4 linked regions of the Caenorhabditis elegans genome follow. The protein of the gene in region 1 interacts with the protein of each later gene in a pairwise test. Each region holds a gene or a part of one and is shown in the gene's direction. Other genes may lie near its edges.

The links.
Region 2: the proteins of tdpt-1 (region 1) and grif-1 interact in a two-hybrid assay, tested with the Caenorhabditis elegans proteins (one large-scale study listed by BioGRID).
Region 3: the proteins of tdpt-1 (region 1) and Y77E11A.7 interact in a two-hybrid assay, tested with the Caenorhabditis elegans proteins (one large-scale study listed by BioGRID).
Region 4: the proteins of tdpt-1 (region 1) and lys-2 interact in a two-hybrid assay, tested with the Caenorhabditis elegans proteins (one large-scale study listed by BioGRID).

What each region holds. Positions count from the first base shown.
Region 1 is NC_003279.8:14,096,231-14,104,304, reverse strand, and holds tdpt-1 (5'-tyrosyl-DNA phosphodiesterase), read left to right. Parts: upstream 1-3,214; 5' UTR 3,215-3,221; coding exon 3,222-3,273; intron 3,274-3,336; coding exon 3,337-3,411; intron 3,412-3,460; coding exon 3,461-3,681; intron 3,682-4,353; coding exon 4,354-4,448; intron 4,449-4,581; coding exon 4,582-4,813; intron 4,814-6,003; coding exon 6,004-6,287; intron 6,288-6,472; coding exon 6,473-6,602; 3' UTR 6,603-6,813; downstream 6,814-8,074. Other genes in the region: Protein tfg-1, read right to left, coding at 96-1,229, 1,880-2,025, 2,078-2,258; fbxb-100 (F-box associated domain-containing protein), read left to right, coding at 7,964-8,046.
Region 2 is NC_003279.8:1,975,315-1,985,105, forward strand, and holds grif-1 (RING-type domain-containing protein), read left to right. Parts: upstream 1-2,715; 5' UTR 2,716-2,737; coding exon 2,738-2,816; intron 2,817-3,205; coding exon 3,206-3,354; intron 3,355-4,144; coding exon 4,145-4,284; intron 4,285-6,051; coding exon 6,052-6,502; intron 6,503-7,866; coding exon 7,867-7,965; 3' UTR 7,966-8,098; downstream 8,099-9,791.
Region 3 is NC_003282.8:1,415,850-1,422,605, reverse strand, and holds the start of Y77E11A.7 (Dynein heavy chain 1, axonemal), read left to right. Parts: upstream 1-2,760; coding exon 2,761-2,885; intron 2,886-3,033; coding exon 3,034-3,182; intron 3,183-3,926; coding exon 3,927-4,147; intron 4,148-4,521; coding exon 4,522-4,902; intron 4,903-6,696; coding exon 6,697-6,756. Other genes in the region: jtr-1 (Protein JTB), read right to left, coding at 958-1,178, 1,291-1,434, 1,480-1,618.
Region 4 is NC_003283.11:10,279,128-10,284,745, reverse strand, and holds lys-2 (Lysozyme-like protein 2), read left to right. Parts: upstream 1-3,271; 5' UTR 3,272-3,301; coding exon 3,302-3,727; intron 3,728-3,964; coding exon 3,965-4,378; 3' UTR 4,379-4,439; downstream 4,440-5,618. Other genes in the region: lys-3 (Lysozyme-like protein 3), read left to right, coding at 1,302-1,650, 1,709-1,914, 2,181-2,531.

The sequences.
Region 1 (8,074 bases):
GTACACTAGGGGGGAAGGACGGGGGAAAACATAAAATATTTAAATTATGGGAATCAAACAAACAAAGAAGAAAACATCAATAAATTATCGATTAATTACTGCTGATACGGCGACTGGCGGTATCCCGTGGCAGATGGTCCTCGTGCGAATGGATTTCCTCCCGGGGCTCCGGCGGCTCCCGGTGGCGGTGCTCCGACTGGTGGGAATCCGGTTGGCGGTGGTCCGTAGGCTCCTGGGCCTCCTGGAGGTGGTGGTCCGAATCCTCCTGGGCCTCCTTGTGGTGGTCCGTACGATCCTGGGGCTCCTGGGCCTCCTGGCGGTGGTGGACCGTAGCCTCCTGGGCCTCCCGGCCCCTGTGGTGCTCCGAAGGCGGATGGTGGTGGAGCAAAAGCGCCCGGTGGTCCCGATTGTGGTGGAGGGGCAAAGTTTCCTGGAGCACTTGATACTGGCGGCGGTGGCCCTCCGAACGATTGTGGTGATGGAGCATGGAATTGCTGGGGTGGTGGAGCTCCGAAGGATCCTTGTGGTGGTCCTCCCTGTGGTGGCCCTTGTGGCGGTGCTCCAAATCCTTGCTGGGGAGCTCCCTGCGGTGGTGGGGCTCCGAATTGCTGCTGCTGCTGCTGTGGTGGAGCATATCCTCCATACTCTGATGGTGGTCCAGACGGTGGTGGCCCGCCAAACTGCTGCGGTGGAGCAAATCCTTGCTGCTGCACTGGAGTCGACGAGATCGAAGAGTGCGACGCCATCGGTGGTGGTGGAGCCTGGAATTGTTGCTGCTGCTGCTGTGGAGGCGGTGGAGCAAACTCCTGAACTGGTGGGCTCGCCGCATTCGACGTTGGGAACGACGGGATCGTCGCGTTCGGTGGCGGAATCGCTCCGAATTGCTCAATTGGTGGCGGTGGCTGGGAGCTGAAGCTAGTGTTCAGATCATCGGGAATTTGCTGATGTGGTGGTGGAGCATAGTGATTCTCCAACGGAATCTCCTCCTCAACGTGCGCCGGGCGATGATTGAATTGCTCGTGAACCGACGGTTGGATCGTCGCCGGGAGCTCGGCCTTCTCGGAAGGCACTGGCGATGGTGGAGCCGCTTCGAAGCTCTTTTGGAACACAATATTGTCGTGGTGAGATTGTTTTGGAGCCGAGAGATTCGCCACCGATGTGTTCGATTGTTCGGCGATCTGGGCAACGTCGAGAGCACTGAGAGCGCCAAGAAGCTTTCCAACATCAAGCTGAAAGAAAAATTGAATTAAAATTCGTTTTTCGCTAGCTGTAGTACTAGAAATTCCAATTTTTAGCCATTTTGTGTTAAAAATATTGAAAAAAAAAACCGATTATTTGGATAATTTTGTTTAAAAATCAATGAAAACGCTGAAATTTCTCCAATTTTTCAGTGAAAAACCAAAGATTTTGTGAATTTTAAAAACAAAATTGGTTGAGGCTCACACTATAAACAAAAAAAAGCTGCATAGCCTCACTCAAGCTTTAGCTAATTTGGTTGAGGCTAAAGCTACAAACTACAAAATCACCATAGCCTCACTCAAGCTTTAGCTAATTTGGTTGAGGCTAAAGCTACAAACTACAAAATCACCATAGCCTCACTCAAGCTTTAGCTAATTTGGTTGAGGCTAAAGCTACAAACTACAAAATCACCATAGCCTCACTCAAGCTTTGGCTAGTTTGGTTGAGGCTCACACTACAAACTACACTTGTTTCTTAGCCTCAACCAACATTTTTCAGTGTTTTTCCGGATTTTTTTTTGTCTAAAAAGCTCAAAAATGCAGCATTTTCGATGAAAATTCTGCAACATTTTGCATTTTCCCGCTCAAAATTGCGCTTTTCAGCTCAAAAATCGTTTTTTTTCGCTCAAAATCCTCCTTACCTTAATCTGCTCGACTTGCTTCTGCACATCGTGCACAGCCTCACGAGCTCTCGAGTCGACAACGACGGTCACGTCGAGCGTGGCTCCAGACGTGTGAAGAGCCAGCAGGAGGTCGCTATCCTCGGCGAGTGTCACCAAATCGCCTTCTAAAATTGACAAAAATTGAATTAAAATCGCAATTTTCAGTGCAATTCCTACCTTCATCCTTGTACTTCAACACGAAATTCGCGTCGGATGGGAGAGCCAAAAGCCGCTGCACATTGAGCACGAGATCGATGAGTGTCAAGTCGTTGGCGTGGTGAAGTGACGTCTTGCGGACGACGTCGGCGTGACGAGCCTTCAGAATTGTGCTCGTGATGGCTCCGTTTGAATGCACCATCTGGAAAAAACGGGGGTTTTTTAAAGGGAAAATTGGGTTTTGCGGGAGAAAAAGAAAGAAAAAAGCAAAAAAAAACCGGCGAAAATCAACTAGAAATCAAGAATTAAACACAGAATCCGAATTTTGGTGAGGCTCAGGCTACAAACTACGAAATTGGCTCAGCCTCACCCAAGTTTATCCGGAGCTCATATTTTTACGAAAATTTTGGATTTTCATGTGTTTTGACAGGAAAATTCGACTTTTTAGTTGAAATTCGACCTAAACGAGATCAAAGTTTCAAAATTAGAGCGGGAGTAGGCCAAAAATATGGTTTCATCGATTTTTAGGCGATTTTCCTATCGAAAATCTAAATTTTCGGCTCTAAAACCCACTTGAAACGCTATTTTCTAAGATTTTAAAGCAAGAAACCGGCAGAAATCAAGAAATAAAATAGTTCCACGTGTAATATAATAAAGCAATTCCATCGGAATCTCTAGATTTTCGCGGGTTTTCGGTATAAAAATCGGGATATGGCACATAAAATAAGTAAAGATCACGAAAATAGATCAAAATCTTCAAGATAATATTGAAAAAATTGCGAAACTAGGTCTAAAAAAATTCCACACGGATTTTCATCGTTTTTTGCCGGTTTTCTGGGGTTTTTTTATGGTGAAAATATCGATTTTAACCTCTAATACTCACTTTTCTTGCTATTTTTATGGATTTTCTGCAAGAAAACCAAGGAAAAATGGGAAAATAACGGGAAGAAAAACGATCCAAATCCGCGATATAAAATTCCACGTTCGGTAAAAGTGCGCCGCAGTTGCAACACGCGTGCCAGGATTGCAAATAGGGTACGCCCCCCGGCTAGACTCCGCCTTTTCAGTTATTCTTTTCGCGATTTTTTGAATTTCAATAGTTATCGTGTGGATTTTTCGCGTTTTCTGAAAAAATATGATAAAATCCTCTAATTTCAGCTCAAAAATGTCGAATTCTGACGATGAAATACAGGAAATTGAGGCTAAACGACAGAAAAGTAAGGCTTTGCAGCTGGAAATTCAAAATATTTGAATTTTAAATCAAATAAAATATATTTCAGTGTCCCAAGAAGATTCCGAGGTCGAAATCGAGATTCTAGATGAGCCGGAGCAAGGAAAACTGAAAAATTCGTCGAGTAAACCCGAAAAATCAATAAATTAAGGCGAAAATCCGCGATTTTTCAGTGAGCGACGAGCAAAAACTGCATGAATTTGCAATAATCACGGCCACAGATGAGGCTTTTGCGCAGTCGATTTTACAGGATGTAGACTGGGATTTGAAGAAGGCTCTGGACGTTTTTTACGGGAGTGAGGCGTTCGCAGAGGCCAGAAGTGCGGCCGTAATGGGCGCTTCATCGTCTATGGCGAGCTCTGGAGCTGCGGTGATGACGGCAGAGGATTTGAAGGTTAATAGAAGAATATTTGGAGCAAAATCAAGCCAAACCACCTAAAAACATCGATTTTCGAGTTAAAAAACCTCAAAAATGCTGCAATTTCCGTAAAATTTCAGTGATTTTTCACAGAAATCATTGAAAATTTGAAAAAAATCACTTTTTCAACCGGAATTCCGAAAAAAAAAATTGGTTGAGGCTCAGGCTACAAACTACAAAATCGGCCGAGCCTCACCAAAAATTTCCAAAGCGAAATCTGGCGAAAATACTTGAAATTTTCCTCATTTTTTATCAAAAAAACTAAAATTTCCATAAATTTTCATAGATTTCCTTCAAAAATCAGTAGAAAAACTAAAAAAAAATCACGCTTTCAACCGGAATTCCGAAAAAAAATTGGTTGAGGCTAAGACTACAAACTACAAAATCGGTATAGCCTCACCAAACATTTCCGAAGCATAATACTCGAAATTTCCCTCATTTTTCTTCAAAAAAGCTCAAATTTCCATAAAATTTCATGAATTTCCTTCGAAAATCTTTAGAAAAACTGAAAAAAATCACGCTTTTAACCTGAATTCCGAAAAAAAAATTGGTTGAGGCTAAGACTACAAACTACAAACTCGGCTTAGCCTCACCAAAAAAAAATTCACTTTTTTCGCGATTTTTCCAACAAATTTCAAATTTTTTCAGGGATTCGAAGTCAGCGTAATGTCGTGGAACATTGATGGGCTCGACGGGAGAAGCTTGCTCACAAGAATGAAAGCAGTGGCTCATATTGTCAAAAAGTGAGCAAAATCGGCGATTTTTCACGGAATTTTCAAATTTTTAGTTGATTTTGATGCAAAATCAGCAAAAAAATCACTAAAAACCGTCAAAAATCTTCAAAAATCAACCTGAAACGCCAAAAAAAAATTTCAGCGTCAATCCGGACATCCTATTCCTCCAAGAAGTCGTCGACCGTGATTTGGCGCCGATTGATAAGCTTCAATCGCTGTATAAAATCTATTATTCGAACAAAGGCTGCCAATATTATACGGCGATTCTTGTGTCGAAAATGTTCGACGTCGAGAAGCATGACGTCATTCATTTTCAGAATTCTGGAATGTACAGAACTTTGCAGATTTTGGAGGGATCTATTGGCGGTTTGAAGGTTAATTTTTCAGAAAATAGACGAAATTTTAAGAAAAAATCCCGGAAAACCGCTAAAAATGAGTGAAAATGATGGTTGAGGCTACCCAAATTTGTAATTTGTAGCCTGAGCCTCAATCAATTTTTATCGCAATAATCGAATTTTTCAGTTTTTTACTGAAAAAAAAGATTTTTTGAAAAATTCTCGCATTTTAATCCATTTTTTCAAAACAAAATATAAAAATTCCCGTAAAAATCAATCAATTTCCGCAAAAAATACCTTAAAATCGAGCAAAATGTATATTGGTTGAGGCTAACCACATTTGTAGTTTGTAGTGTAGGCCTCAACCAATTTTTCCCCTCAAATGTTTTCCCTCTTGTTTTTCTTGCAAAAAACTTCAAATTTTTACAGAAAATGGGATTTTCCACTGAAAAAATCTAGATTTTCAGGTTTTAAAATCAATTTTCGGTCAAATTTTACGGAAAATCCCTATGTCTTCCTGAAAATCTCTTTTTTGTTGTAAGATTTTCGAGATATAATTGATTTTTTTCAATCAGAATTCTGCAATTTCTAGCTGAAAATCACAGTATGTAGTGTGAGTTCGAAAAAAATTCGTTGAAACTTTGGTGAGGCTAACCAAATGTGTAGTTTGTAGCCTGAGCTTCAATCAATTTTATTTGTAATTTTTTTGAATTTTTCAATGATTTTTGTCGGAAATACATGAAATGTTATGGAAATTTGAGCTTTTTTGAGAAAAAATGTGGGAAATTTCGAGTATTTTCACCAGATTTCGCTCCGGAAATGTTTGGTGAGGCTAAGCCGATTTTGTAGTTTGTAGCCTGAGCCTCAACCAATTTTTTTTTCGGAATTCTGGTTAAAACCCTGATTCTTTCAGTTTTTCTTCTGATTTTTGAGGGAAATCCCTAGAATTTTGAAAATTTGGAGCTTTTTTTGAAGAAAAATGAGGGAAATTTCGAGTATTTTCATCAGATTTCGCTTCGGAAATGTTTGGTGAGGCTAAGCCGAGTTTGTAGTTTGTAACCTGAGCCACAACCACTTTCCCGAAAAAAAACTGAAGAATTTCCTCGTTTTAATTGATTTTTTTGAAAGAAAACTGAACATTTCTATTAAAATCATTCGCTTTTCGGCAAATTTAACAAATTTTTGTAGTTTGTAGCCTGAGCCTCAACCAATTTTCTCGTTTTTTGCAGGTATTCCTACTTAACACCCATCTCGAATCAACACGTGAGCACCGCCCGCAACGTTGTGCTCAATTCGGCTTCTGCATGGACAAAGTCCGTGAAATCATCGCTCAAAACCCGGGCGCCCTCGTCTTTTTCGGCGGCGATTTGAACTTACGAGACGAGGAGGTCAGCCGTGTGCCTGACGGTGTTAAGGATGCCTGGGAGGCTGCCGGCAGTGATAATAAGACAAAATTCACGTGGGACACCTTCAAAAATGACAATAAACAGGGATTCCATGGCGCTAAGATGAGGTAAAAGCGAAGAGACAAATAAAAAAGAAATAAAAAATATTTTGCCACACCGGGGGCTCGAACCCCGGTCGTGTGATTGGTAGACGGCGAAAAGCGCACTGAGCCATTCGATCATTTTTTAAAAAATAAACAAAAATCGATTTTTTTCAATTTTTTAAAAAATCTAAAAAGCTTCAAATTTTCAGATTCGACCGCCTATACTGGTCTGGACCACTGGACAAAGTCAAATTCACACTTGAAGGCCGCCAACGCATCCGTTCCTGTTTGTGCTTCCCATCTGATCATTGGGCTATCAATGCCACGTTTTTTGCCTGAAATAAGCCTTAAATAAGCCTTAAATCATCATTTTTTACCCATTTTCACTTGTTTTTCGACCGGTTTTCACTATTTTTACCCAGGAATTACCTCCCAGTTGTCACCGGGTTTTAATCTTTTTTTTTCATCTAAGCTCCCTTTTTTTTGAAAACTCGTTGTTTTTATTGATCTTCGATTTTCGATACTGATTGTAAATAAATCCACTTTTTTTTTTCTTTTAAAACTATAGAAAATCGCTCATTTTTTGGAAAAAAAAATTGGCGCCTAAAAAAATTAGAAAATTGAAATTTTGGGATAAAAAAATATTTTATTTTTTAAATTTCGAGCTTTAAAATAACAAATTTCATCTCAAAACCACTACAAATAGAAAATAAAAATTTTTGCCACATTGCGGACTCGAACCCCGGTCTTGTGATTGGTAGCCGGCGAAAATCCCACTGCGCCATTCGGACACTTTTTTTTTCGAAAAGCTTAAAACTCGATTTTTCTGATTTATAAGCCTCTAGATGATTGTTATTATCTTAAACTATAGGAAAAATCGTTTTTAGAAGAAAATAACTAGAAAATTGATAATTTCGACTCAAAACCCAACTTTCAAAAACTTTTTGTTCTAAATTTCTAGGTTTTGAGGTTTTAAATTGCTAAAAATCACATCAAATTGGCAAAAAATTGAAAATATTCGCCACGCCGCGGACTCGAACCCCGGTCTCTTGATTGGTAGCCGGCGGAAATCCCACTGCGCCATTCGGACAATTTTTTTAAAATTGCTCAGAAAATTTTGTTATGTTAGGCCTCTAGGGGTGTTGTTTAGCCACAGAAAAAATAAATATATCGGTTTGGAAATTTTTAGAAGCAAAAAAAACTAGAAAATTGATAAATTCGACTTTTTAAAAACTTTTCCTTCTAAATTTCTAGATTTTTCCGTTTTAAATTGCTCAAAATTACCTAAAACTCACAAAACATGCAAAATAAAAAATAGTTGTCACAGCGCGGACTCGAACCCCGGTCTCGTGATTGGTAGCCGGCGGAAATCCCACTGCGCCATTCGGGCATTTTTTTGGAAAATGTTTAGAAAAAAAAAATTCTATTTTTTTTTTAAATTTTAGTTTCTTCAGATGATTTCGTGTCTTTTTAAAACTAATTTGGCCTGAAAAAAAATTTTAAATTTAGAGTTTTCCGGAGGTAAGGCTGCCAAAGGACTGGGGGGTCGATGCACCATAATTTTTTTTTCTTTAGAGAATCGATATTTCCCCCCCACCTGTCCGTCTTATTAGAGACTACGCAGAGAAGACAAGAACACTCCCTGACAACCAAATTGGCCTGCAAAGGGGTCACCATATCTCCAATATTTCCTCCCGCCAATGCCTGCTCTACCTTTTCCAATATTATCACTTCCTCCGAAATCCCGCCGAATAGCCCTAAAATGTATGGATACTTTGGATTTGTAAGTCTTTAAATTCTTAATTTATAGA
Region 2 (9,791 bases), about 12 Mb from region 1:
GCGCGGCTTAAGCCTAAATAGCCACTTTTTATCAAAATACATTTGAGCGAGGCGGTTGTAAACTATTCGTTCTTTAGCAAAAATAAAAAAAAAACTTTATTTAAATTTAAAAATAAATATCATATGTTATCACACCTTAGAATATCACGCCTTAATTTAGTAATCATTTTTAGTTCATAAGTGTGAGAGAAAGAAAAATGGATTAATCATCGGAATTAGATATCATCAGAGTGATTATATTCATCAAAGGTCCCACTTTACTGGAGATTTAATTTGGTTGATATAAAATTCCTATCTCATGTAAAGAAAGGTTCGAATTCTGTACCTATGAATACTGCCGATATTTGAATTCCTGTCTCATGGGAAGAAGGCCTTTCTTGTGGGAAGAACGGAGTTATAAAAAAATATACGCAGGTACAGAATTTGAACTTTTCCTCCCATGAGATAGGAATTTGAATATTGGCATTCTATAACTTCACTAAGAAAAAAAATCTCCAAAGGTTGATCGCAAATATGTAGAGATTGCTCGCATCCCTTCAAATATTACAAAATTTCCAAGTTTCTCAGTAATCTATAGTTTTCATTTAGATTACTGAAAAATATACACAGATTACTTTTGAGTCTGAGAAGTTATTGTAAAACGCAAAGCGAGCTCAAATGTATTTTGATAAAAGTGGCTATTTAGGCTTAAGCCGCGCCATACCGCCGGTGTGTCATAAGGATTTCCAATATTTTATTCCAGTTGGGCATCCTAGTTTTTTTTCCGGGCCCTTAGGCTTAAGTGTGTCATAAGGATTTCCTATATTTTATTCCAGTTGGGCATCCCAAGTCTAAATAGCTCTTTTTCTTTTCTTTTGCGCTCCAAGCGCAAGGAAAAACCTTCTTGTAACTTTTTAAGAGGGTTTCATATATTTTATTAAAATCGGGGCGAAGCCCTGATTTTAAATCCATATTGTTTTTTTTTGTCTTCCTCTATCCCTGCAAATAGGAAAGATAATGTGTTCTTTCTGATGAAGTAAAAATCATCATAAAATCTTGAAAACTGAGAGCAGGAGGTAATATTTGAATATATTGGGTCGTAAATGTGTGTCTCTCTGTGGGTGGGGTGGCGATGTGTTGGCAGCCCTTCAACGAACTGTATCTCCCGCCTGTATCTCCCTTCAAAGAGAGAATTGGGTTACAAAAATTTGAGGGGATATGAAAAAAGGTGTGAGAATTTCAAAAATATTATTGTTGAAACACCAGACCAAACCACTTTTTCTGGGCAAGAGGCAAAAAATTAATTTTTTGAAAAAATTTCAAACTGGCACAAAATTTTTTCAAAAATAAATTTTTCACAAATTGTTAGTAGATTTCATTTTTCATAAATATTGTTCATTGAACACAAAAAAGAAAACAAAGATTCATCAAAAAATGAGTGAAAAATCGCAAAAATTCGAAAAAATCAGTGCTGAAAAACTCGATTTTTTGGCGGTGCTGAAAAAAATTTTCACTAAAATTTTTTTGAAACTTAGTTTTTCGGATTTAGCGTCAAATTTTGAATCTATATAAAAAAACAAAATTGAAATTGATCTCAGATTGAGTGAATAATAAACGCTCAAAGTTGAAAAATGAACAACGCAAAAACGGCAGTAACTTGCTTCAAGGTCGGTTATCTCAGTGAGTTTTCACTCAATTTTCGAAATTTGTTTGCTCTATCGCTTTAGAAATATTTGTAATTTCATTTGTTTTCCTCAAAATCAAAATATCTCAAACGACCGCCATCCTACGAGAAGGGAAAAAAAAAGTTTTTGGAAAAAAAATCAAAAATTTTTTTTCTGCCTCGATTTTCAAAATGAAAAAATCACTTTTTCGGAATAATTTTTACTTTAAAATGTACCTACGATCTTTTTATACAACAATTTCACCTTGGAACCAAAGATTTTTGGAGGATACTCGAAAATACTCTTCATATCTCGGCTCAAAGAGCTCCAATCTTTCTGAAATAAAGCATACAGAGGTGGGGCAAGCTTCTTGAAGAGAGAGCAAAAAACCGCATCAAAATCCATCCACCCACCGTCAAGTTACACGCGCGTTTTCAGAGTGAACGAAAAACAGGGCATAAAAAAATTTAGACGCCCGCACCCGGACTCGAACTTTTTTCAGATTTACAAGCTTAATATCTCGGCTCCTGTAAATCGAAATTGGCTCAAAATTCTCAAGAAACCTTATCCTGCGTCCTTCCTGCTGTCATTAAATTTTCGTGAGCTTAGGGAGAAAACTGACAAAACGCCAAACTTTCAAATTTAAAAAAATAGTTGAGGGTCATTTTGTAAACACCTTAAGCTCCATAACTCGGCGAGTTTTGATGGAATCAATTTGAAATTTTACACGGAAGCTTCTTAGTGGCTTATACGTCTCTGTGTTAAATTTCGCTTTGATCGGCCAACGGGAACCCTTTGAAAAATGAAAAAAACGCTGTAATCCTAACCCTAAATGGCGAGCTAACGCTCGCCACTGACGCCAAGCCTAGGCCTAATCTCAATTTTAACTGTAAAAATAACAAAATTCCCTATTTTTCTGTCAAAATCGAATTTATCTAGGCTCGCAAATTTTTGATCTACCATCTCAGATGTTGATCTACTATCTACTTTTCGGCGCCAAATTTCCAATTTTGGGTGCAGAGACTCTGTTTCTTTGAGTTTTCCGTTCGATTTCCGCTCATTCCGTCTCCTATTCCTGTTCTCTGTGGACAAAAATGTACAGTTTCAAAAGCAGCACCGACGTGAAGACTTATATCAGCACCCCGTCGTGCCGGATATGTCTTGAGCCATTTGGTTAGTGAGTTTTTGTTGGCTTAACGGCTTTTTTCGTCAGTGTTTGGCTATTTTCTTGCAAATTTTTAGGTGTTTTATCGATTTTCACATTTTTAAATACTTAAAAAGCTTGATATTTGAGCGAAAAATCAAGAAAATTAAATTGCGAAATTTTTTAAATTTTTTAAATACCAACGACACTCCGATCTTACACCCGTGCGCGTTGTTTAGCGTAAATTTACAAAGCGAATTTTCAGTTGGTTTTCTCGAATTTTAATTGAAAATCTTGAAAATTAGTGAATTTTTCAGCGTTTTTATGGATTTTTCCCTTAGAATACAGGTTTCTTAACCGAAAACACAATTTTCCTCCAATTTTTTCATAAACATCTTTGAAAAAATCAATATTCCAGACGAAGGACAACATCTTCCGAAAATCCTGCAATGTGCCCACACGGTCTGCGAGAGATGCATCGGTTTGCTCGACGAGCAGAGCCGAATCAACCACAATCGGCCGCCGATCGACCGCTCGTTTGTGCACATTAGATGTCCAGTTTGCAGGGTATGTGTTATCAATTAATTAAAGGTGGACTCCGCTCAGTGCGGAAATTGCTTTAAAACACGCCTATGGGGTCACAATGACCGAATATCTTGATTTAAAAAATTCAAAAAAATTTTCTAGATTTTATATGATCTTTTGAAAATTGAAAAAATCTCAGTTTTTGCCTAATTCCTATTTGAATTTCCGCCAATTGGATTTTTTCGGTGGGGCGCACTTGCACGTTTAAAAATTTTTTTTTTTATTTATTCTTATTTTTCACCGATTTTTAATGTTTTCGGTGTATTTTTGCTTGAATTTTAGAGAAAAAGCCAAAATAAATGCAGATTTTCGATTAAAAAACACGATTACAGGCGTAAAAATGAGAAAGTAACGCTTTTAAACGATTTCGAACCTGAATTAATTAATTTCACTGATTTACGCCTGTCAGTGTGCTTTTTAATCGAAAATTTGCATTTATTTTGACTTTTTCTCTAAAATTCGAGCAAAAATACACCGAAAACATTAAAAATCGGTGGAAAATAAGAATAAATAAAATAATTAAATTTTAAAACGTGCAAGTGCCCCAACGAACAAATCCAATTGGCGGAAATTCAAATAGGAATTATGCAAAAACTGAGATTTTTTCAATTTTCAAAAAATCATATAAAATCAGGAAAATTTATTTGAATTTTTTAATCATGATATTCGGTCATTATGACCCCATAGACGTGTTTTAAAGCAATTTCTCCACTGGCGCTACTCCACCTTGAAGATTAAAATAAAATTTTTAATGAATTTTGCTGAATTTCAGGCAGTCACCCAGACTCCACGCAACTACATTCGATCCAACTACCAGCTAATCGAATTGATGGATTCGATGCGTGGAGAAGCCGATCATAATATTTCATTCCTCGCGTGTGTCGGCTGTAATGGCGTTTATCACGAGAAAGAGTGCGTTGGAAACTCACGGCCTCACGGCTCACGCGGCACCTCACGAACTCCAGAATTTGCGGGAATTTGTTTAGCGCGGGACAGCAGTTTTTTGTTATTTTTGGCTTCTACGGAAATTATTTTTGATTTTTTGATCTATAATATTCTTGAGAAGCATCCTTCGAATTGAAAATGTGAAAAATTATGAAATTTGAGCGAAAACTGAAGGTTTTACAGTAAGGAGTTCTATACTTTTCTTTAAAAATGCATCAATACCGCCAGTTTTTTGATTTCAGAGTCGTAAAGTATGCCATTTTGTAGAGAAAAGTCTGTTTCACAAAAATCCATGTTTGAAAATTGAAAATTGTTTTTATTAAAACCTGAAAAATCAAAAAAAAAAAAAAGATTTTAATGTAAAATTGTTGATTTTTTGAATATTTTTATATTATAAATTGAATAATCAGAATTTCAAACATGGATTTTTGTGAAACAGACTTTTCTCTACAAAATGACATACTTTACTTACTTACTTAGGATACTTAGTCGATCCGTTCTTCGCCTGCGGCGCGGATCACAGCTTTCCAAGCTTTTCGGTCCTTTGCTTGGGTGGACCATAGTTGTTTGACTTGCCCGAAGGCGTCTCGCGTAGTGACTTCTTTTCTTAAAGAGTCATTCCATCTCATCGGTGGGCGTCCAACGGGTCGTTTCTCGTCTCGGGGGCACCAATCGTTCATCAGAGTTGTCCATCGGCCATCCGTTCGTCTCGCCACGTGTCCAGCCCATCCAAGTTTCCTCTTTTTTATGTGTATTAGTGGATCTCTGAGTTTTGACTTTTCTCGAACTTCTTCGCGATGAATGTTTCGTTCGCGTTGTTCTGTCAAGGTGAGTCCAACTAACTTTCGTTCGAGGGCTGCATGGGTTACTCTGACTCTTTCCACTAGCTCTTTTGTGAAAGTCCAAGCTTCAGAGCCGTAGGTCAGGGCTGGGAGAACCGTAGAGTCGAAGAGATTTGCACGGAGGCGTGGGCAGGTGATCTGGTCCGTGGTGCTTTTGATGTTGGTAAAAGCTGCCCACGCAGCTCTTCGTCTTCTGTGAAGCTCAAGCTTTTTTGATTTTTTGATCTATAATATTCTTGAGAAGCATCCTCCGAATTGAAAATGTGTAAAATTATGAAATTTGAGCGAAAACTGAAGGTTTTACAGTAAGGAGTTCTACACTTTTCTTTAAAAATGTATCAGTACCGTCAGTTTTTCGATTTCAGAGTCGTATGTCATTTTGTAGAGAAAAGTCTGTTTCACAAAAATCCATGTTTGAAATTTTGAAATTGTTTTTATTAAAACCTGGAAAATCGAAAAAAAGAAAAAAGATTTTAATGTAAAATTGTTGATTTTTTGAATATTTTTATATTATAAATTGAATAATCAGAATTTCAAACATGGATTTTTGTGAAACAGACTTTTCTCTACAAAATGACATACTTTACGACTCTGAAATCAAAAAACTGGCGGTATTGATGCATTTTTAAAGAAAAGTGTAGAACTCCTTTCTGTAAAACCTCCAGTTTTCGGTCAAATTTCATAATTTTATACATTTTCAATTCGGATAATGCTTCTCAAGAATATTATAAATCAAAAAATCAAAAAAAATTTTCATAGAAGCCAAAAATAGCAAAAAAACTGCTGTCCCCGCGCGAAACGAATTCCCGCAAATTCTGGAGTTCGTGAGGTGCCGCGCGCGAGCCGTGAAACTGTGAAAATTCAGATTTTAATTAATTTCCCCAATTTTCAGCACCAATATTTGCACTACATGCTCCCCAATCATCAAGGATGCTCATCCCACTGAACTCATCGAGCAAGGAGTAATTCTGAATCAGTACGCGTTGTGTTCGACGTGTCTCCTCAGAGATCACATCAAAAAGAACCACGTGTCGATCAGTCTGCAGCCTCTTCGCGTCGAAATGCAACGCCAGGAGAATCAGCGGCGGATAGTCGGCTTGCAGGACAATTTGCACAAAGTGCAACGCGATTTTCGTGAGCAGCTTAACGCGACTATGGAGCGATGGGCCGGATGGAATGGGAGCCACGATTTGTCGATGGATAAATTCCGTGAGCTTGGTGATACGTACAATCAGAAGAAGGTTTATGATGCGTTCGTGCATCAGCTGAGAGGCAAGACCGCTAAGATTGAGAAGCTCGCCGAGCACGTTTTGCGATGGAATGATGAGCTGGACAGGGAGATGGTGCGTTGAAGATCGGGGCCGCTTTTTCAATTTTTTTGAAAATACAAAAACTAAACTTTTTATTCCGAAAATTTAAATTCTGAAATTTCGAAAACCTTTAAAGGTGGTGTAGTCGAATTTTTTTATTATTTTTTTAAAATTTTATTAGACTCAAAATTGTCTGAAAACACCGAATTTTATAATGAAACTTCTTGAAAACTCCAACTTCTCAAAAAAAAACTTCTGACGGCTCGAAAAATGTCCTAAAATTAGTTAAAATTTGAAATTTGACCGACTTGCAAAAATTTTTAATCAATTTTAATATGTAAAGCCTAAGTGATTTTTTGCCAGAAAAAAAAATCTGGAATTTACAGTTTTTGAAATAAAAATTTTCAACAAAAACTAATAATTTGTCGGAGAAACATTTGAATATCAGTTTTTTTTTGTCAACTCTAATTTTTATAATTAGTTTTAAAATTTAAAATTGAGAAAATTATTCGCATTTTTTGCTCAAATTTTGTATTTTTAAAATAGTTTTTTTTCTTTCAAATTCTACTCCAAATATACTCAACATTTTGGTAATTTTTTAAGAAATTTTATGGAATTTTTCGAAATAAAAACAATTATTAAAAATTTCAACTAAAATCTAATTTTCAGTACGAATTTTAGAAAAAAAATTGAAACTTATAAAAAAAATTTTCTAAAAACTAAAAATTTCGCCTTTTGGTTTTTTTTTCAAAAATATTTGGAAAAATTAACAAAGTTTTATTAAAAGTGGTGTAGTCGAATTTACTAAATTACTTAATTAGATTCGAAATTGTCTGAAAACACTGAATTTTATAATGAAACTTCTTGAAAACTTCTCAAAAAAAAGTTATGACGGCTCAAAAAATGGCCTAAAATTAGTTAAAATTTGAAATTTGACCGACTTGTCAAGCGGTTGGAAACTAACTTTTTTTTTGAAATTACCGTCAAATTTTGAGTATAAAATATAATTATCTTGCATTTTCAACTAGATTTAGGTATTTTAAAGTCGATGGACGGCGAGATTTTTATATTTTTAAACCAAAAACGGCGAGATTCGAGTTGAAAACGCAAGATAATTAAATTGTATACTCAAAATTTGACGGTGACTTCAAAAAAAAAAAATAGTTTCCAGCCGCTTGACAAGTCGGTCAAATTTCAAATTTTAACTAATTTTAGGCCATTTTTTGAGCCGTCATAACTTTTTTTTGAGAAGTTTTCAAAAAGTTTCATTATGAAATTCGGTAGTTTTCAGACAATTTTGAGTCTAATGAAGCAATCCGAAATATTCTTTAAATCATTCTTTTTGGGATATTAAGAAAACTTCATCCTTTTCCCCTAATAAAATAAAAATTTTCCAGGAAAGACCACCAGCTCATCGTTTGCCACGTAGCTCAACTCCAGCGCCAGCACCACCATTCGACAACTCCGTCGCCTACTATTTTGAGCACCAATTTTGAGCTTTTATATTTTTTTTTCTCATCCCACCACCACATTAAAACAGAGTTTTTATATATACAGTACCCATTATTCGAACACAATTTGTTCTAAAAGAGCCCCCAAGAATCAGATTTAATAAAGAATGCTCTCACCAATTACATTTTATTGCAAAGAAAAGTATGAACATTTACAGGAAATGCGAAAGAAAATGCGGAAGTGAAATTGAGATCGTCTAAGACTCATAAAAATAAAGTCGACGAAAAAGGCCTTGTAGGCAGGTAGATAGGCATTTTCGTGCCTACGAAGAAGGGGGAGGATCAGAAAATCTATGTTTAACTTTTCAAATACTATTGAAAAGTGCCATAAGTGCCATAATTATTAAAAATCCAAATTTTTGAAAATACTCCAGAAAATTTTGAACATGGTGCAACGTGACCAAAATAACAAAGTGTGCAATAAATATGGCCCGTTTTTGCCACTTTTTAATAGTTTTTGATGGGTTAAACCTAGATTTTCTGAATTCAGCATATATGAATTACCCGTTTTCAACAAATTTAGCCGATGTTTTATTTTTGCCCAAATCGTTTTTTCAGCCATCTAATGACTGTCCTTTTTTTGGGCAAAAAAAGATTATTCTGAAATTGAACGAAACTATTAAATTCTAATAAAGGACATTTTTTTTAGGGTTCGGAGATAAATTTAGAGTCCTCTAGCTACAAAATTAACCATTTTAGAGGAGTTTCAAGATTGTAATTTTTACCAAAAATTGCCCAATTTTTGCCACTTTTTTATAGTTTTTGATGGATTAAACTTAGATTTTCTGAATTCAGCATATATGAATTAACCGTTTTCAACAAATTTCGGCAGTTTTTATTTTTGCCCAATTTTTCAGCCATCGTTTGAAATTACTGGAAATTGAAAAAGAGCAATTTTTAGAGTTTGGAGATCAATTTAGAGTCCTCTAGCTACAAAATAATCATTTTAGAAGAGTCCGTTGTAAAAAAAAGTCTAATTTTTTTTAATTCAGAAAAATTAAAACATTTTAATTTGTTAGGGCATGGGTTAATTAGTACACCAATAATTAGCAATATTATCCGATTTACAAGGGTTGTAGAAATTTGGGCTATTTTCGTGTGTAATTTTGGGCCCATGATCCGAGGGTACATCGAAATAGGGTACATCGAGCCATTTTTTTGTTCTTGGGGTACATTCGAGCAAAGGGTACAATCATTCTCAGGGTACATCCACCGGTTTGTTCAGAGGGTACATTCATGGGATTTTCATAGGGTACATCGGCACTATGTTCCAAGGGTACATCCAATTTTCAAGGGGTACAACGGATTTTTATAACTGAAATTTCTTAGAGTTGTGATTATCACAATTTTTTCGTTTTTAACTACCATATTGAAAAATTCGAATTAAGCCATAGTTTTGTTTCTTGATTTCGATTTTATGAATTATTAATCAAAAATCAAAGAGAAATTGGGTCGATTATCTATAGAGTAAAATTTTTTAACTTAAAAAAAAAACATTTTTTTGGAAATTTTTTTTCTCTCTCTATTTTACAAAATCATTTATTTGGTGTTTCCACAACTTTGGACGTTCATATTGCTGTTTCCGCGCAGTTATGTGTTTTGCAATGTCTCTGGAACATTCCTTCCTTGTTACCTTCCTTGAACATTCCTTGTTACATAAAAATTATATCGAATTTTAATTAATGCCCCCGTTAGAAGAAAGAAGGAACATTTTAAACATGGTGCATTGCAGGGGTGGGCGGCAAACGATTTTTTCCGTCAAATCGGCAAATCGGCAATTTGCCGATTTGCCGAAAATTTTTAGCAAATTG
Region 3 (6,756 bases), on another chromosome or scaffold:
GCGGTTTGAACTGGAGTTTCTCCTCCACACGAATTGTCCTCGCTGTAGAAATCGTTGTCCTTGACCGATTTCGTCCGTTCTTTCTGTAAATTATCAGAGAGAATTTACAGGCAAATAAATTAGTATTTATTTATGTAAAATGTGAAGTGAAAAGGGTGGGAATCCTTACACTATGTAGTCTGTGAAGTTTTGGCTTCTGGAAGGATAGTGAGTTGGGGTTAGTGTAGGGATATACATAGTTGGGGCTACTGTAGTGGTATAATAGTGGCACGGTAGGAGTACTGTAAGATTACGGTAGTTTCAGAAAAAGAGGTTTTCAGCTCCAGAAGTCGATTGCCTCGCCTGCATTTAGTTTTTCATTTAAAATCGAGACGCGACGCGCCGTGAATCTACCCCAGATATGGCCAAGCCAAAATGGCCTAGTTCGGCAAACTCTTCCATTTCAATTTATGAGGGAAGCCAGAAACCCGTGTTACACATTTTCCTGGAGTTTTGCTGACTTTCAAGAAAGTCGAGAAGTTTTCAGCCTATTCTAGAAAGTTGTAGAAGTTTCCAGGTTTTTCTAGGAAATTCTAGAAGTTTCTGGATCAATACTTCTTCAAAAGACAAAAACTCAATTTTCCCGAAAATCCTACAGTACCCCCTACCGTATTACTACAGTATCCCGACCATATCTCTCCACTAACCCTAAACAAATATCTCTTAAAAAGACAAAAACCCAATTTTTTCTAAACTACAGTAATACTACAGTACATTACCCCGAACGTGAAAGAAGCATTCAAGAAAATCGATGAATTTTTTTTTTTCGTAAAAAATTTTTTTTCAATAAATTCGCACCGTTTATTACACATTTCCCATGTTTTTTTCACATAAAAACCCGTTTAAAATCGCAACAAAAATCAATCAATCAATATATATATATATATATATATATCTACAAAAAAAATCGATAAAAATTTAGAAATGTTGAGGTAGTCGCATGTAGACCGCCCGTTCGAGTTGAGCCTTCCGCTGTGTCGTCGACAAGAAGCTCACGATGAGAATTGCGGCATTTACCACGTAGAACAGGTAAAACTCGTGGCGGCGGGATTGTTTTGGAGATGGACACGGGCGGAGCACAGTTGTCGACGATTTGGAGCAGTTTACACGATCGAAATAGCCGGTTTTTAGGCAATGACCTGGAAAAATAGGATAAATTTTTGATTTTCTGGTGAAAAAGTCGTTTTTTGCGGGTTTTTAAGGTAAAAATTGCGATTTTTCTGAATTTTTCCTAATTCTTTATCTCCCTACCAGCTTTAATAGCCTTAATCTCGAAATCCTTGCACGGTGCACACTGGGTGACCACTTCAAATGGCTCATGCTTCCAACATTCTTCCGCTGGATATTCCGTCACCACTTTTTCCAGTTTTCCGGTGGTTCCGCCGTGTTCCGTCTCTGAAAATTCAACTTTTTTTCCAAGTTTTTAGGTGGAAATCTTACTATAAAACGCTTTTTTCATCTCCATTTCGCTGTTCATCTCACTTTCCTCCGTGTACTCTTCGATGAAGAATACGAGAATCGAAAAACCGATTAGGGCGAGGACAAACGTGGAAATTTGCTTTGTACTGCAGTATTCCATCGTTTTTCTGCAAAAAAAAATGAGGGAAAATGAGTTATTTTGGCTTGAAATTGAGAAAGAAATTAATTAATTTCGTACTGTAATTTTTAAAGGTGCATAGAGGCAAATTCTGTGTTGGGTCTCGCAACGAAATACATTTATTTGCTGATTTTTGACAAAGTTTGAAACTTAACTGAAACTTGCGAGTTACGTTTGCCAAAAAATATGACAATGGGTTTCATTATTAGTATATAAACTTTTAATGAATTTCCGTACGAAAAATTGTTAATAAATGGCTTCAAAACCGTAAAAACTATTTTACTGTAAGTTTAAAGGTACATGAAGATTAACTTTTCAGCAGGTCTTGAAACGAAATACAAAAAACTCATTAAAATTTATTTTTCAACATTTTTTCTTGGTTTTTTTTTTCGGATAAAAAATTAATTTAAACCAATAATAAATATTTATAATTTGCAGAATTATAAAATTCTCCGTTACAATCTAACGTAAAAAAATTCATTTTTTGCTGGAAATTAACCAATAACTAGGAAAAAATCACAAAAATCCTCCTCAAAAACCGGAAATCCCCTTTAAAAAAAATCCACGACGCTCCGTAAATCGACACAGCCCTATCCACACAAACGCGCTCCAATCCCACCTTGCACACTCGAGACGCGGTTGCGCGTCGCGTGCGCGCGCGCTTCACTGCGTCTCCTCACTCACCGTGAACATCTGTGGCTGAGAAAACACAATTGATTCGGCCCCGTCCGTCGTCCCATTCCCGTCGAATTTTTGTATTCTTCGGCCACATTTTTTCTCACGGCCCCCGCGGCTCTTTTTATTTGAATTTTGTCGGAAATGCGTAGTTTTCTCAGGAAAATCAAGCGAAAATTGATTTTGAATCGAAAAAACCGAAAAATTCGATCGAAATTTGAATGTTTTCGAAAACAAATTCAAAATTTCAATTAAGCACCGTAAACTTTAAAGGCGCATGCTGTTTTTGCCACAACGGGTCTCGCCACGAAGGTGAAATTCACTGCTGTCCCTTTAAAGCGTACTGTAATTTATTTTTCGAAATTTTTTCTCAAATTTTGGGCAAATTTAGTCTTTTTTCTTTATTTTTCAGCGAAAAAACCATATTTTCAAACGATTTTTTTTCAGAAATGGAGACGAGAAAAGTTCGTACACCGTCCGCAAAGCTGCTCGCCGCCAAACAAGATGAAGTCTTCGAAAAAGTTATTCCTACAGCTCAACTCACACCGAAATCTACAATTTCTGCACAAATGGCGTGAGTAGACGAGAAAAATCCAAAAATATAAAAGAAAAATCAAAATTTTCAGCACTTTAGACCTATAAATAGTGAAAAAACCTTTAAAAATCTCGGGTTTCTATTCCAATTCTCCTAAAAATCTCTAAATTTGCTCGTTTTTTTTCAGAAAAGTCCCAGAATCCACGACACCAGAGCCACTTTCAGTCGACCAGGAGCGAGATATGACCCCAGGCGAGCACGAGCTCCAAGTTCACCAGAAACACCACCAAAGCCCGATTTTAGAGGAGGAAATCGATGTTTCCAACACTGAAATCGGTAAAAATTGGATTTTCTACATGAAAATGCGATTTTTACGCGGAAAAATTGGCGAAAATCCTCAATGATCAGGCAAAATTGGCGATTTTTAGGGGGAAAATACCAAAATTTACGATTTTGCTTTAAAAAAATCAGTTTTTAATCAAAAAATGTGTTTTTTCATTGGAAAAGTGCTGAAAAGTCGATTGTCGACTCTAAATTTGCAATTTCCCATTAAAACGTTCATTTTTTACCTAAAAAATGTAATTTTTTCACTTCAAAATTCTAAAATTTAACCTAAATGCTCGCGTTTTCAAGGAGAAACTGCCTAGAACTCAGGTTTTTACTTTAAAATTCAGTTTTCGGCTGAAAATCAGAAGCTACTACCGGAAAATGTTACAGTTTTCTATGAAATTTGTCTTAAAACTCGATTTTCATTTAAGAAACCAATTTTTCGCCAAAAAATTCTTTAAACCCCGGATTTTTACCTGAAAATGTTAATTTTCAAGCTAAAATCTCTTAAAAAATCAGATTTTCACTCAAAAAATCCCGAAAATTTTAATTTTCAAGCTAAAAACTCTAAAAATTCGAATTTCACTTCGAAAAAACCCAAAAAATCCAATTTTCAACCTAAAAATTCCCCAAAAAATTAAAATTTCATTTAGAAAATTCCCAAAAAATGTCATTTTTGAAGCTAAAACTTCCCGAAAAAGGCCAAATTTTAATTGAAAAACCCCTAAAATCTCAAAAATTCTCAATTTCCAGACGCGTCAGTGCTCGACGATCACATGGACACTCAAACAATGGAAATTGAAATGGAAATGGCTTTGAAACGCGAGAAAATCGACGCTCAAATGGTCTTAAACAGTGATTTTTCGGTTGCAAATGAGGTTACAATATCATCAATGAAATATCAAGGGCGTCCGACTCCGACTAGAAAGGTACCGTATCAAAATGAAGACGAACACCTCGTCACCACAATGCAGGTGATTTATCGCGGAAAATGGCATTTTTTCACCGAAAAAAACCCTGAAAAATGAGGATTTTTACTTGAAAAATCCTGTGAAAATGAGCAAAAACCACACCTAAAACGAGAATCCACTAAAAATGGCAAAGTAAAGTTTCAAATGCTCTGAAAACGATCAAAAATCGACCAGAAATAGCCGAAATTTCACAGAAAATTCACTGTAAAAAGCTGCTTAAAAAGAGCCAAAATAATGCCCTAAAATTCCGAAAACTCACTTTCAAATACCTGCGAAAAGCCTTCAGAAAGCGTCTAAAATCACAGAAAAAAAACCCCAATTTTTGCACAGAAATCCTCTAAAAAACCAGCAAAAACCGTCTCAAAAAAGTTTTGCAGCGTGTCGCCGCAGCCACCTCATTCACCGGAGAAACTCTCAATCTCAAATCTTCGGATCTCTCAATTCCCAACAAAGCTGCCCATTTCCTTTATTTCCGTTGCTACGAAGAACATGAAGTTCAGAAAGAATTCCCGTTGACAATCGATGAAACACGTAAAGGGCCTCAGAATTTCCTTGTTGAACCCCGTCACGGACTAAAAAATACCGATTATTATATTGATAGTTATTTGTGGAATCGTGGCAAATCGACGAGCTCGAAGAAGAAAATTTTTGTGGAAATAGAGGGAAATCATGTGAAAACGTCGAGAAGAACTGCCGAAACTGCACATTATGTGTTGAATTGGTATTATTCGAATATGGAGAATAGAATTTGCAAAAAGGTGCGGTGGAAATGCAGTTTTTAACCGAAAAATTTGAAAATTTCACACAAAAATTGACCTAAAATCGGGGTTTTTACCTAAAAAATAGCATTTTTCAGGCTAATGGCAAAAAAATGGATTTTTAACCGAAAAAAAAAAGGAAATTTCATTACAAAAATTACCTAAAGTCATATTTTTTACCGAAAAAAATGACATTTTTCATACTGAAATTACAAAAAAGGATTTTTCACCCAAAAATGGTTTTTTTTTTCATTCTAAAATTTCAAAAAGAATGAAGAAAAAAAATATACCGAAAATTGAATTTTTCACCCAAAAATGACATTTTTTTACTTCTAAATAAACAATAATCGGGATTTTTATGTGAAGAAATAGTTTTTGACCGGAAAAATTGAATTTTTCATCAAAAAATGACCTAAATCGAATTTTTACCCGAAAAATTACATTTTTCATGCTTTTAGAGTCGATATTCTTTGATTTTCATCACCGAATTCGATTTTGCCGCAAATTTTCACTTCTAAAATCGGTTTTCTGTGCTTCTAGCTCATGTTTCAGAATTTCCGGGTTACGGTAGCCCCGAAAGTACGCAAACACCGACTACAGTAACCCAAAACACCAGATTTCACGCAATTTTGAGCTACAGCTCTGAAAATTTACGTTGTAGTGGAAAAAAAATGCGGGGATTCCGAAAAATAACCGAAAAATTTGAAAATTTCACACCAAAATTGACCTAAAATCGGGGGTTTTTACTTAAAAAATAGCATTTTTCAGGCTAAAATGACAAAAAAAAGGATTTTTAACCGAAAAAATTGGAAATTTCATTACAAAAATTACCTAAAGTCATATTTTTAACCGAAAAAAATGACATGTTTCATTAAAAAAATATACCGAAAATTGATTGAATTTTTTGCCCAAAAATAGCATTTGTCATGCAAATATTATTCAAAATTCGGATTTTTTAGCCAAAAATTGATATTTTCGGAAAATGTGAAGTTTTCTTATGAAAATGACTCAAAATCGAATTTTTCACCCAAAAAACCACCTTTTTTTTGCCAAAATAGTTTACAAAACTGGATTTTAAGCCAAAAGCTCGGATTTTTACAAAAAAAATTAGAGATTTCTGCTGAAAATCGCTAGTTGTAAAATAATGCGGGAAATCCGAATTTCTTAATGAAAAATTTGCAATTTCAGCAGAATATCTAGAAATTCAATTTTTCAGTGTTCAAATTCGATATTCTTTGATTTTCATCACCGAATTCGATTTTCCTGCAAATTTTCACCTCTAACACTTTTTCTGCGGGATTCTAGTTCATTTTTCAGAACTTCCGAGTTACTGTAGCCCCAGAAGTACGCAAACACCGACTACCGTAACCCAGAAACACCCAATCTTACGCAATTTTGAGCTAGAGCTCTGAATATTCACTGCTAGAAGTAAAAAATAGCTGGAAATCCGAATTTCGTAGTGAAATCGCCGAGAAATGTGTTAAAACACGAGTTTTCCGCTGTTTTATTCGAAATTCTTGATTTTCATCACCGAATTCGATTTTCCTATCTATTTTTAGCTCTGAAATCGGTTGTCTGTGGTTCTAGCTCATTTTTCAAAATTTCCGGGTTACAGTAGCCCCAAAAGTACGCAATCACCGACTACAGTAACCCAATACACCGAATCTTACGCAATTTTGAGCTAGAACTCTGAAAATTTACAAGAAAGTGTAAAAAAATGCGGGGAATCCGAATTTCGTAGTGAAAAATCTCGAAAATTCCGAAATTTTGAAGAAATCTTAACAAATATCACAGCTTCAGGTGTGTTGGTTGGAGAGTCTTGTGGATAATAGTCGAGCATCACCTGTATTGGTA
Region 4 (5,618 bases), on another chromosome or scaffold:
AGCAAACTGAATACGATTTTGGCAGTGTTTTTCGGTAATGAAATAAGCCTTTATTAATTTTCGTCTTTTGATAAACTGGGACTTCGAAGGACACGTCGTACGGTCTCAACAGACACTGGCAGGTTCATCTCGCTCCTACTTTTCAAATTTTTTCAATTTCAATTGAATGCTCGACAAACGATTTTTCGCTTGTCTCTACCAGAAAGGAGTGGTGGGCGACCAAAAGGCTTTTTGGTGCAATAAGCAGCAGGATTGGAAGCATATCGAATGATCATATCTCTTGAACGTTTCAAATCACGAAAAATCTGACGAGAAGCCTTGAGATAATTTTGCACAATTTGTCCTTTTTCGTAGTCAGTTAAAGTTATTCCACGACCCATAGCTGTAAAAACACAAACGAACATGAAACCTAACGTTTAGCAAAAAAAATTGCAAAAAAAACGAAAAAAGAAAACAAAAACCAAGGGTGGCCGTATCATTTTGTGGATTTTTTATATGGTTTTTCATCAAAAAATGGTTTATCTTTTTTTACGAACGGTTCAGGTATATTTCCAATACTTATCTGAAAGTTAGCCAGTACAGCGAACATTTTCACAAGAAACTATGTTTTGCTATCTCAACCCAGTTTTGAGTTATACCAAAATTTGGCGGTGACCGTATCATTATGTGGAGCACTGTAGCTCATAACTATTGATTCTCTAATTCTCCTCAGTCAGGACGCCCCCTCACTACAGCCAAAACGCTTTTCTATTAGTTAAGCCTTTTGGGAAATGAACTATGCTCAATCACCATTCACAGACAAACTTGGATTTGAAGTAAGTACAAACATATTCAGCCATTTGTACATCTTCGAAAGAAACCCAATCCTCTCGGCTGAACGTTTTTGCTACTGTTGGGATTCTATCACTGAAACCGTTGTTGGAGAATCTTCTGTTTGAACTGACAACCAAATCCGAGAGGAGAGGTAATAAAAACTAAGTAAGTAACTTCGTCAATAAAATGCAGGGAATTTTTTTGGATCCTAAGAAAACTACAAAGCAACTATTTAAAATACTTACCCAAACTTCGAAAAAATCCTAATTTTTTAATAGAGTATTGTTTCATCTATTTTCATTCACAAGCTCCTTTTTCGATTTCACGTTCTGTATTTTTTGAGTGACTCAACCCCATTGTTATCAATGCTTGTTTTCTGAGTCTGCCCACATTCAACTAAAAATACAACTTTATTACTTGATTACTCAACCAGCGACATCAAAACGAGTATAAATGCTTTCTTGAGTTCAATATTATCATTTCGGAAAATGAAACTTTTCGCTCTTCTAGTCTCTATTACATTGTGCTACTCTTTCCCAGCTCCTCTTCAAACGAATGTATCAGAACCATTTGGATTGCTGCAGAAAGTTTCTGAACAAGTGATTGACCCAGATTATAATATTCCTGAAGTGAAAGATGCTCCAGCAATTCCATATGATGAACGAAACTCCCCAACTCATGCATATTCAGTTGACATTTCATTTCACACAACTCCGAGTGACATGGATTGTTTGAGAGATCAAGGTTATAAATCTGTATTTGTCAGAGCTTTGAATCCAATTGGAAATACTTATTTTGATCGAAATGCCTTGAATACAATCAACAATGCATTTGAAGGTAAGATTGACTAAATAAACAAAATAATCCTATTATTATCATTTTGTTTTTTTTTCAGCTGGACTTGGAAGTGAAGTTTACATCACTCCAAACATCAACTCAACAAGGTCTGGAGCAGACCAAATTAGTCTGGTCTACCAGAATTTGCTTGCTAATGGAATTAATGTTAGATCTATCTGGATTCAAGTAACTTCTCCAACAAATTGGGTTGCACCAATGGCTGTGAGAATTGAGTTTATCCAAGATATGATTAGAAGTGCGAAGGTATGTTACCAAACATTAGCGAGACAAACTGAAGCTCCTGATGCATGGAAAACAACAGTAAAACAATTTCCGCGAAATTCGCCTCTGAACGTGGGGCACGCCTGAGACGTTTATAGGACGATTATATTTAAGTTGATCACATACACGAATATTGTTTGCTGAAGCGGAATGTACATTTTCTGACTCACACTGTTTAGAAGTTTTAATTTTCGAAGCATGGATCATGATCACAAAGAACAACTTCTTATTCACTTTATTACTTTCAGAATCTGGGCTTGTCAGTTGGAATCTACACTTCATTTTATGATTGGTTGGAAATCACAGGAGGCTGGAACACGTTTAGTTCTGATGTTTTCTTGTGGTACTGGCATGTTCTGAGTATGGGTACTGATGGTGAAACTACTCCAACTCTTGAAGATTTCCGTCCATTTGGACCATGGAGACAGGCCACTGTGAAACAATTTGGACAAGTTGAAAAACTTTGTGGAATGATTGTAAACCGAAATGTGTATTCCACCGGAAACCAACACTTGTCTCAAATTGTACACTTCTCAACTCATCAAGAAAATTCGAGTTCGGAGAAGAAATTGATTCGTGTTGGTGGAATCGGATTTTGAGAATCCAAGGAATGAGAATTGTCGACTAAATCTTTGATACCAGAAAGCATAATACAAAATAAATATTTCCGATGTGATTGTCGATAACCTTTTTAACGATAAAATTATCAACACACAAAAATACACTTGTTATTAATAATGGTGTCGCCGAAATTTTTATTGCTTTATTAGACTCGAAATTGTCTGAAAACACCGAATTTCATAATGCAACTTTATATTGAAAACAAAAATTACCTACAAATAGTTAACATTTGAAATTTGTCCAACTTATCCATGTTGCAGCGGCTGGAAACTAATTTTTTGAAATCACTTTCAAATTTTCTGAATACAACATTTGAGGTGGGATCACTAGATTTCGTATAATTTGGGGATCCATTGAAATTTATTTACAATTTCTCATTTTTAAACCCGAATTTCAAAAAGCATCTCTCTGTTGTTCTCTTTGTTCTAAAACTTCGAGAAATATCCTCACTGACGATGTTGTGTAAAGGAACATGTAGAAAGTTTCTTTCTCTATCTTTGGCCTCTTTTTCATCACATCACTTTAATTGACAACAGAGAGTCTGCACTGGTATTCTTGCCTTCTTATCAATTATCATTCATTAATTCAGAAAATGAAGCCAAACCACTGTTGACATTTTCAACTGACTAAGAAACCCATCTTATTTCAGAGAGATTCGTCATTTTGTGCACTGAAAAGAGCTCATCGTCTTGTATATAAACTGATAGGAAAACCACAATTTTTATCTTCACTGAAATAGATCAGTAAAATGATCAAGCTTCTAGTTTCTTTTACTATCCTATTTGTTCTCTCTTCTGCGAGACCACAAGAAATCGACTCGAACCAAGCTGCGATTGCAAATACCGAAGCAAATGAAGCTCCAGTAATTGTTAACAATGACGCTTCAATGGGAAATGCTGTCGATTTTTCCTTTCCAACAAATGTCCAAGTAATGAATTGTTTGAAGAAAGCAAAATATCAAGTTGTATTCCTCCGTGGATTTGTTCCAACTGGAAATGGAGCTTTTGATTCAAATTGTGTTGGAAATATCAGAAATGCTTATTCAGCTGGATTGGGAATTGAGACATACATGACTCCTCAGCCAATATCAAGCTGGCAAGGATACCAACAACTTGATCTTCTTTATAACGGACTCAACAATAATGGAATCACTATCCGATCAGTCTGGATTCAGGTTAGTAGTTCAGACACAGTTTAAATTTAGAATTTCCCTCAAGTTCATTTTGAGGCTGGTACTACTATAGTTTCAGTTTCATAGAGAGTTGCTCCTCTATTTATGAATTTTCTCAAAAGTATTTTATCATTACTTCCTCTCAATTCACAAGCATTCACGAGTTTGTGTATTTCTTATCTTTCAGAAAATCGAACATAATATTTAAATAATTATTTCCCTAAACTACAAATTTTCCAGGTTACTTCCCCTGCCAACTGGCCAAACAATCCAACTGCCAACGTCAACTTTATCAACAGCATAATTTCCCGTGCTCAACAATATGGTCTCTCTGTTGGAATTTACACAAACCAATATGACTGGAGCCAGATTACTGGAAATTCGGCGAATATCAATTCTAATGTCATGCTCTGGTATTGGAATGTTCTTGGAGGTGGTACTTCTGGAGAGACAAAGCCAACTTTTGCTGATTTCCGTGCTTTCGGCCCATTCAAGAAGGCTTCAGTGAAGCAGTATGCTCAAGTTGAAACAGTTTGTAATTTGGTTGTGAATCGTGACGTGTATGCTGTTGGAATTCCAGCTGCTGCTCCAAAGACTGAAGTCAATATGGCAGATGGTGAAAAGATTGTTGTCGGAGGATTTGTCGGAAACTAATTTATTAAACTTATTATCGGTTTTATGATCTCTTCCCAAATAAAATTGTTATCATCTGTTATCATTTTGCCGGCAGAAGAATTTTCTTGAAGGAGAGAAAAAGTCTAAAAGTCACGAAAGTTAAACACATTGATATTAATGCGTAAAAAGCGATTAAATGCATATTATCGTTAGGTGTCAATGCAACTTAAAAAGTGCAAAAACATCTTCGTATGTTAATTTTCAGATTTAATTATTTTGAACAAATGATTTCTTTTTTTCAAATTACGTTGAGTTCAACAAGCCTTCCACGCGGGTAATATTGAATATATTCTATCCTATACCCTCTCAGATAAACTGGAGTCACGGCTGACTAGGGAACCGTCAGAAGCTGCCCATCGGACTTGCATATGAGACCAATGCCATTCGATAGTGCATGTCTTAAAACGGTTGCTCGTGAATTTTTAGCGGCAAAACTCCAGAACCAAGCTCACGGCGGGCTCTCAAAGATCTTAAAATAGCACTGTAAGGAAGAACTTTAACGATCTAACGAAGCAATTTTCGAATTTCACTTTGGTAGCTCATATCTCCGTAGATAAATTTTTTACAGAAAAGTCATCAACTAAAAAGTTGTTGATATTGTTGTAAAGAACAAGTTTGTAGTTGAAAGTTTTTTACCAAAAAATTTTTGTTTGCGAGAAAATCATTAGAAACGGAATAGCAGCATAAAAATAACAACACCAGTTGCCGCACTTCACGCACTTTTATCTCAAACAAAAATTTTGTGGTAAAAAACTTTTAATTACAAACTTGTTTGTTACAACAAAATCAACAACTTATCAGTTGATGACTTTTCTGTAAAAAATTTATCTACGGAGATATGAGCTACCAAAGTGAAATTGGAAAATTGCTTCGTTAGATCGTTAAAGTTCTTCCTTACAGTGCTATTTTAAGATCTTTGAGAGCCCGCCGTGAGCTTGGTTCGGGAGTTTTGCCGCTAAAAATTCACGAGTAACTGTTTTAAGACATGGGCTATCGAATGGCATAGGTCTCATATGCAAGTCCGATGGGCACCTTCTGACCGTTCCCTAGTGAGGGACAGGAAATCACTGCCAATTAGCATTTATGCCACGGCTATTTTAACTTTTTAAATGTTTACTTTTCAAAATTATATTTATAGAAACGATTTCCACAAAAATCTTCAGAAATAAAGTGAAATCGTCATGCGAAAAGACACAATTAAAATTTTACTGATCATTCA